Linked DNA regions of Oryzias latipes. The protein of the gene in region 2 binds, or shares a complex with, the protein of the main gene of each other region. Links are inferred from orthologs where the notes say so. Each region holds a gene or a part of one and is shown on either strand. Other genes may lie near its edges. The genes, in order: pttg1 and espl1.

Evidence for each region.
Region 1: the proteins of espl1 (region 2) and pttg1 are in contact, whole or in part, in a cryo-EM structure (PDB 7NJ1), measured with the Homo sapiens proteins. The link is inferred for Oryzias latipes from reciprocal best matches to the Homo sapiens genes ESPL1 and PTTG1. Residues at the interface, in NP_036423.4 of Homo sapiens: His402, Thr405, Val406, Tyr409, Ser461, Asn462, Tyr465, Tyr468, Arg505, Arg508, Glu512, Glu544, Thr547, Phe548, Arg551, Gln590, Lys593, Ala594, Val595, Arg596, Thr599, Gly600, Arg603, Gln634, Cys637, Tyr638, Trp683, Ile686, Glu690, Ile697; in NP_001269311.1 of Homo sapiens: Tyr111, Pro112, Glu113, Ile114, Glu115, Lys116, Phe117, Phe118, Pro119, Phe120, Asn121, Pro122, Leu123, Phe125, Glu126, Ser127, Phe128, Asp129, Leu130, Pro131, Glu132, Glu133, His134, Gln135, Ile136, Ala137, His138, Leu139, Pro140, Leu141.

The regions. Positions count from the first base shown.
Region 1 is NC_019868.2:9,721,446-9,725,978, reverse strand, and holds pttg1 (securin), read right to left. Parts: upstream 2,805-4,533; 5' UTR 2,742-2,804; exon of another isoform or gene 2,635-2,741; intron 1,987-2,634; 5' UTR 1,982-1,986; coding exon 1,894-1,981; intron 1,809-1,893; coding exon 1,675-1,808; intron 1,584-1,674; coding exon 1,502-1,583; intron 1,070-1,501; coding exon 914-1,069; intron 288-913; coding exon 202-287; 3' UTR 141-201; downstream 1-140. Other genes in the region: sept6 (septin-6), read left to right, coding at 3,321-3,350. UniProt on the Homo sapiens protein: Regulatory protein, which plays a central role in chromosome stability, in the p53/TP53 pathway, and DNA repair. Probably acts by blocking the action of key proteins.
Region 2 is NC_019863.2:4,432,922-4,436,738, reverse strand, and holds part of espl1 (separin), read right to left. Parts: coding exon 3,787-3,817; intron 3,687-3,786; coding exon 3,444-3,686; intron 3,264-3,443; coding exon 3,119-3,263; intron 659-3,118; coding exon 499-658; intron 254-498; coding exon 114-253; intron 1-113. UniProt on the Homo sapiens protein: Caspase-like protease, which plays a central role in the chromosome segregation by cleaving the SCC1/RAD21 subunit of the cohesin complex at the onset of anaphase. During most of the cell cycle, it is inactivated by different mechanisms.

The DNA.
Region 1 (4,533 bases), on a different chromosome or scaffold from region 2:
TCTAATGAAGCAGATCCTCTTCAGAAGACTCCCAACACGTGACCACAGCTGGAGTTTAAAGCAGGAAGTAGTTCAGGTTCACTCCCCTGACACTTTTGCAGCCATTCCATCACACACACACACACACTCTGGACCACAGATGTTGCCAAGAAAACTTTATTTCAACACAAATAATAAAAACAGCCATTTAACAAACAGGCATCAGCAGTCAGTAAGCGGTTCTGGGGGGAATTCAACAGTCAGCTCTTCAAGGGTTTGTAGGAAGGCATCCAGCTCCAAGCTGTGATCTAAAAAGGAAAATGAAGAGGAGTTTATGAAGGCTTTCCTGCCAACAGGCACACTTTCCAACAATAACAGCCATAACAAGTGGCATTTGTTGGAAGTCACATGATTCAGTTAATGAGTAACCTACAGGTCTGATCATAGTTTGAACTGTTCAACACTAAAAGGATTAACAGGTAACAGGGAACAGCATTGTAGTTTAGGGGGAAAGCTTTCCTATTACGTTACAGTTTGGGATCATTCGACAAGAATCCAGTCTGTGTTTCCCCAAGGGCACTGAGGAGCCAAACAGGTTCTTTGCAACAGAGCTGAGTAAATGAAAATTCAAACTAGTTTATTTTGTATCCCCAAAAGAAAAGAGAAAAAAAACGAACATGTTGACTCCAAAGTTACTAGATCTGTGTACAAATGGTTTGAAGTTTTTTGTTTTAACAGTAAAGCAAACCTCAAAGTTAAAATATTTTCTGTCTAATTTTGAAAAACATGACACGATTACTTTTTCCTAGTATTTATTACTTATTTAAAGCACCATGTGGCGTTCTGTTGCATTTCCCTTTGTTGCAACAGAGTGATTTCCTCTGTAAGCTCCTGAAAATAGGAGATTTATCAGACGTATAAAGGAGAACCATACCTGGAAATCTGCACCCTTTTGCAGGTGAAGGGTCTGGGAGAGGCTGAATCTTTTCCAGGTCTTCCTCAAGAAGAGGCGAGGTAAAACAGGCCAATCCGGGTAGAGCCAGGCCACTGAAAGGAATGAAGTCCTCGGGTATGCTGTACTTCTCAAACTCTGAAAATATGAAGAAACTCAGGAATGGGTGAAAAATTTCCCAGACTGTGAATAAGCCCCTTTAAAACCAAAGAAGTCAGAAAAGACACAGCCACACATGGGAGCCGTTTAACACAGTGGACACTACCACAAGGCCACTGAGCCACTTCCAATTCTTTCACATCATTACATTTTGTTGCTTTTACTTGAACAACCACCACTCATGAGCAGAAAGACGCTGTGCCCGTTGATTATGCTCAGTGATAAGAGTGGATATTGTAAACATGGTGGCTATGAAATGATGTGACATTAGCAGTAAAGACTTTCAGATGGCATACAGCTGCAGCACGACCAGCGGAAATGTGGAACTACTAAACATCTTGGTTTAAAAAAAAAAAAAAAAAACCTCTTAAAAGCATAATTTGCCTGCAAACCAAACAAACATGACATTACCTAGAGGGTTGTAAGGAATAAAATTTTCCATTTTTGGGTATTCCTCCCCTTTGGCTTCAGAAGGATGCTCGACCTTGACTTCCTATTGAGAAGAAGGGCAATATGGACACACAGAAACAACAGAATAGCCTTTTGCTGAAATAAATCCATTTGTCATTAGTGTTTATTTTTACCTGTGGTTTTAAAACTTTTTTCTCTTGTGTACTCAAAGAAGGGGTTAAGATCTTTTTGTTCACCACCCCAAAAGCCTTACGCGCTGAATGGACAGGGGTATTTTTGACCAACATTGGAGACTTCAACTGTTTTTCTGGTTATAGAGAGCGAGAATAAAAAGGAGGATCATGCAGAGTTCCACAAAGATAATCTGAAACAGTTGAACATGTTTTTAATACCTGGAGCAGACAGAAGCCTCTGACGCATTTTCAGGGAAGAGGGACGGAGGCAAACATTCTCCTGTTCGGTGAAGATGACATTTGCCATCTTGGCTAAAAGGTAAAAAAAGAAAAACATTTGGTTTCAAAAAACTTTCAATTACTTTAAATGGGGTTTTATATACACAAATTCATAAAAATATAACTTAATTTATTGAAAGAAAAGGGGGAAAAAAAAGGTGCACTTTGAAATTCATAAGTAGACTAACAGAGTTGGCTATTCTCATTTTGTTTCCCCACAATTCAGGCATTTTGAGGTTCAATTACGGATTTATTTATTTTTTTTTTACATCAAAAAGGCTTTCTGCTAATTGGTGCTGATGTTTAGCATTAAGAAGAAGATTATGTATTGTCAGGCCCAAAACTAAACTAAGCTAAAGTAGACATTTTGTTTTCATCTAACAACTATGCAATTATTTACAAAATAATGGATACATTTCCCATTTGGAAAATGATTAAGTTCAGAATAATTTAGTTCAGACAACAAATATTTATTTACATTTACTGACAATAATGTAAACAGCAGAGATTTGTCCAATGCTACATTATTGTTAGCGGTTAACTTTGTTTGTCATGCAACGTTACGTACGGTTTAAAAATTATCGTTAGCAGTTTGTCGTGCAACGTACGGTTTAAAAAAAATTGCCCATTTACGTAAAATCTTGGAATGATAAACCAACGGTTACTTTCACGTCTATTTACCTTAGTGTTAGTAACCTCAAAGAACAATAGTTCTTGGTCTCAATCCGAAGGCTTTATCGTCTTTATCCTGCTTTTTGTTTTTTATCTAGCTACAACAGCTTCCGCACCTTTGTTTTTAAATCCGTTCACTTCATTCCATTGGTCGTTGTAGCCCTCGTGACTGTCGTTGGGCAGTGATTATGATTGGTCGTTGTACCCCACGTGACTGGCATGAATTAATTTCACCCGTGTCTCATTTCAAAGCGTTGTATGAACAGAATTGGGCATATTATCGAAAAAAAATAATCATTTAGTCAATACCAAACTAACAAAAATTGCCCATATTCATAAACTGGATAATTATTCATGCTAATTATTCCCCTTTTATTTTATTTTTTTATTGCTTGCTGACTTCCATTTACTAGCGTTCTATCGGACGAAACCATGTCTGCACCATCTTTCTTTATCTTATGTGTTTATTTTTCTATAAATAAATCCGTCTTAAAGATAAACTGCAGTTATATGTCTTTTTTTCCCTAGTACCTATTGTTGTAATCAAGACGCAAAAGCAAAGCTACGTGTTCTCTACATGATTAACTCCGTAGATTCAATGGTACATTCCAAACAGGCCATCTTTCTGAGGAACGTTAACTGTTCAGCAGGGCTGCTGAAAGAGGACAGTTGAGGGAGAGCTAACAGAAAGCATCATGGCTTCGACCGAGATAGCAAGGCAAGCTGTAAGTCTTCTGTTTTACTTTTAAACGCATCCATCAGCCTAAATATGAATTAGTTTTACGTTTAATGTGCGTCAAGGATATGTTAGATGGAATTAGGTGTTAATAAGGAACTCCCCGCATTTTTTGTGCCTTTCAGAAATTCGCGGCATCATAGCTAAACCAGTGTAATGTCACTGTATTGACCAAAACACCCCAAATATGCTTTGGATATTCATTTAGAGCTGTGCCTTTGTAAAATTGTAGATAGGAGTACCTGGTCTTAGCTTTTGTATTGTATTCTTAATCGAGAACAACGCCTTTATCTCCATGCTGGTTACAGCTAGCTTAATTATCTCATTAACGAAACTGCGCCTGGTAGAATTATTAGTTTTTCATTGCCGTCGTAACAAAAATGTCGTATATTTAAAAGGTTTAATCAATACAAATCCCCCCGTAGGCCATTCATTCTGAACGCCCCCATTTCAGCTCAGCTTCAGTGTTCATTTCCGTTCTGTTCTGTCATGTAAATCCCGTTAACTTTCAACGGGCGTTGTCTAAAAGTAAACAATATTTCTTGGTTACTATTACTTAGTAGTAATGCATATAAACAAGCGGTTTTAAAGCTATGCTAGGACAAAGTGTGCTGCTCTTTTTTTTAAGGGAGAAAGGAAACCACTTAGTCCAGAGGGAGTGCTTAGAATAGCAAGGTTGTCCAGTTTTATATCCCTTTGTGGCTCCAATGAATGAAGCAGATTATGTTGAGAGAAGATGCCTGCGATTTATAAAGTGTTTAGTCTCTCATTTCCTTCACACCTTCAGCTATTTGACCCCAATTCAGCCCCTTTAAAACAATCTGCCGCTTCCAAGTACCACCAGCTTGCACAGTTATTTTAAAATGACTTCTCAGAGTTTTTCTTTTCCCTCCTTTAAAGCCATCACCGTATTGGACAACACTGTGTTATGTTCAGCCACATAATGGCTGCTTGTGTTCATTTTAGCTTGTGGAGAGCTCTTGCTTTTGGCATGCAATGTACATTCTTTGCTTTTCCTGAATGCAGACATTGGCTCTCAATGTGAGACTCTCGAGCAATCTGCCAGCTACCCTCCCAAATATGCAACAACAGTGCTTTATAGCTTTGTCTTCCGAGCTATTCTGGTCCAGAAAGCAGAGCGCATAGAGGTGCAATCAGCCTAAAACCAATAG
Region 2 (3,817 bases):
GACTTTTTTCCCAAATTATTAATAAAAGATAAATGCCATTTTTTTTATAAGGGGAGCGATTCCATAAGTAGGAACTGACAGTAAAAATGATTTTGTTTGGAGTCATTCCTTACCTTCCCCATGAGTCTGAAGAGAGCTGCAGCCACAGCGACAGAGCTACAGGTCTGTTTAGCATTTCGAACAGAAGGCTGGGCTCCACTTTGGATTAGACCTGACCACATTTCCAGAGCTCTTTCCAACGGCTGGCACAACTCTAAAACGAGACGAACGGGACGCCCTCAAATCAAAAACCATCATTTTCAATTTGACTCCACATTTGAACCATATAAATGGTTATAGGAAAATTTGAGATCACAATATGAGCTAAACGTGATATTATTTGCAGAGTAGTCCGTTGCATTTTACTGTAGTTTGCTATGGTTTTTATTGAACGACGTGTAGATTACTCAGTAAAAATGACCATTTACATGAATTAATAGATGAAAGTAGCACTCTTACTTTTCTCTGCAGCCAAGTTAAAATGGAGACCTTCATAGACCAGACTGCTGTCATGCATCTTCTGCTTCTCTTCAAAATCAAAATCATTGTTCCCAATGTGACTGTTCACACCGGGCGTCTGTTCACGCAGCTCCCTCTGTTTCCTTTCATTCTCCATGGCCTGGATCAAAGACAAAAACAGTTTCAACAGCAATCCAGATTAAGGCAAACCAGCAGGTTGGTTTCACCATTGAGCATTCATTTTTGAATCAATGGTATAATATTCATTATAATTTGAAGGCCCACCCCATTTTAAATTGTGTTTTTAACCTGTTCTTGTTGCATTTTCTGATGGAGGACATGTATAAAGAAAATTCAGATTAAAATTGTAGTTTTTATTTATTCAAACCCTGGTGAATTAAGAACCCACAAAGATACATTTTTTAAAAAGATTGTAGTCGTTTCATGCTAAATAAAATATCGCAAAAGACGGCGAAAATCGCAACAAATTATAACTTTAAATGTGCTAAAACAATCTTATGTCAGCTGGAAATATTCAACCAATCAAATAAATCCATCAATGCATTTGACAAATCGGATGGAGCACTTTTATTTATTTTGAAGCTCTTTTATGTTAGATCCTCGCCTCTTATGTAGACGAGGGTCATTTAGAGCAGTGGTTCCCAACCCCCGGGCCGCGGACTGGTACCGGTCTGTGGGTCATTTGGTACTGGGCCGCACAGAAAGAATAAATAACTTACATCCATTTTATTTATTTCGGAATCTGAAAGAGGTTTTATTTTGAAAAATTGACCAATTCTGTTCCATCCGTCTATGTCACCTTGACGTAGGCCAAGGCGCTCTTGTCGGTCACGTAATAGGTTACCGCTAGAATAAAACCCAGGAGTTAACAAAATGAGTAAAAGAACAAACGTCTTTGGAAAGTTTCTTTGCCAAATGGAAAGGGGCCAGCCAGGAGACAGAAGAGGAGCCTTCCACTTCCAAAATAAAGAAAGCTACATTTGATAGACAGTACTTCATTTTTGCACCACGAGTGTGGGAAGGGGAGAGGATGATGAGACCTGAGCAATGTACAATGTCATGCTTGTCAAAATAAAAGCTCAGAGTTTGTTTTGTTATGTCTCTGTTCCTCCTTCATCGTAGTCTTGTTAACATAATCCAGTGTTTTTCAACCTTTTTTGAGCCACGGCACACTTTAACCTTGACAAAAATCCCGCGGCACACCAGCATCCAAAAAAAAAAAAAAAAAAAAAAAAAAACAGAAATTCATGGTCTGTATTGATCGACAGCCCCCCCCCCCCCCCCCCCCCCCCCCCCCGCCCGCCCGCAATCTCACGTGTATTTTTGTGATAATTGTGGCCGGAAAAGCAAGAAGTTGCGGCTGTTTTTTCTAAGAGATGAAATGAAAGTTAAATTAGAAAAATTTAGAAACTGTTTGTTTGTTGGGGTTTCAAGGCGTTTCGCAAGGACAACTCATTGTGCACTGGGACACTGGCTCTTTAAGCCAATGCATCATGGGAGATGTAGTGTGAAAAGTGCCGAAAACTTGCAGAAAGACTGGCGTCTCTGAGATTTATTGTATTGTCCACTTGTTTCACGGTCTGACACCGGACTCTGTGGAAAGCTACACCGCTAAAGAAGAGCTTTAGCCGGTATTTTTGTTAAAACTGAGCGACTATCAGCAGAATTAAGAACAAGGAAGTGAAGACTTTAAGCACTTCTGATTGGTCAGACTGATGACATGTGATTAAGCCTTCAAGAATGATTGGTGGAGACAGTTAAAGGGACGGGACTTTTCCGCAAACTGTCATAGCTGCAGGTAAATCGCGGTAACGTAATCCTTATCAAAATGTCTTTAATAGAATTAAATAAACACAAAGAAAAAGTAATTTTAAGATCTTTGATATTCCTAACTCCTCAGTGTTTTATCAGGGCCTGTTTGGATGAACAAAGAGCTGATATCCTGGAGATGGGAAATGTTTTTAGATCAGTGAATGAGGGCAATTTCTCCACGGCACACTTGACCATCTCCCAAGGCACACCAGTGTGCCACGGCACACTGGTTGAAAAACACTGACATAATCATCCGCCTACATGGTAATATCCGGTCCGCGTAAACTGAGTGTGACGTCATACCGGTCAGTGGCGTTAAAAAGGTTGGTGACCACTGATTTAGAGTGTAATTTAAGTTATGTCGACTCTTATTTAAATTAAAATGCTGCAGTGAAATAAAAATATTTTTGGTTGTTTTGCTATTTTTCCATGTATCACAAGTTATTTTGTCATCGCAATATTGATCACTAATATCGCATCGTGCCATAAGCAGAGGCTTACTACTGTGCCTGAAGTCCCGCCCACAACTCAGAGGTGCATTTCTAATGAACTTCTGCTTCTCTGCAGAAACTATGTCCTAGGAAACGCCGCAAGTTATTGGATTTTGGCTAAAAACGTATTTCAAAACCACTGGGAACACTTTGAAAATAGATCAAAAAAAATAATCAGAGCGGGACTTTAAAATCTCAATTAGTCACCAAAAGATATTTAACAAAATTTGCTCAATGATTGCTTAGGAGAAATACAAAGAGAATGATGAAAATTCAGATGATCAAAGGCGGATCACCTCTTGAAGATGTTTCTCCAAACTGCAGATAAAAAGCCAAAGTTCAGCGTGGGCTTTGTCATCCTTCAGTCTGTCAGAGTTCTCCGGAGTCTCGACCTCGTCTCCAAGCAGACGCAGAGCTTCACGCGTGAAATCAACTGCAGCACTGTGTGGACACAAAGGAAACCATTGAGATTTCCATCATTTTAGTGCCCAGCAAACATGGCCAGAGAGGATCAGTTTCATTCCCATGGTGTGAACATAGGGGCACAAGGCATAAAATGAAAAAGACATTCTACCAAGTATTGATTAGTAAATTATGGAAAATACATAGAAACGCTCTTACCAGTCGGTGTGTTCTCCAAAGTCCTGGAAGCACACAACCTGAGCCATTTCACAGAGGTAGAGAGCACGGCGATGGCTGTGAGAACTTTCCTCATTACAGATGTCCAGGAGATCACAGAGAGTGTTGTAACGCTCTTGGGCTGTGTCTCTTGGCAACTCCTTGTACGTACGCAACTCTTCCTCCAAAAGGCAAAGCATGATTTGCTCATCAGGAACATCAGCACCAAAGCCGTCACGCAACGTTCTGAACCATCGCGATACAGGAGAACAAGGGAGGGAAGACAGGAGGGGCTTTACTTCAACTAGAAAAAAAAACATTTCTTCATCATAGGACTTGTTGCTACCTGAGTCTTATGTCTTCATCAGAATTATTGA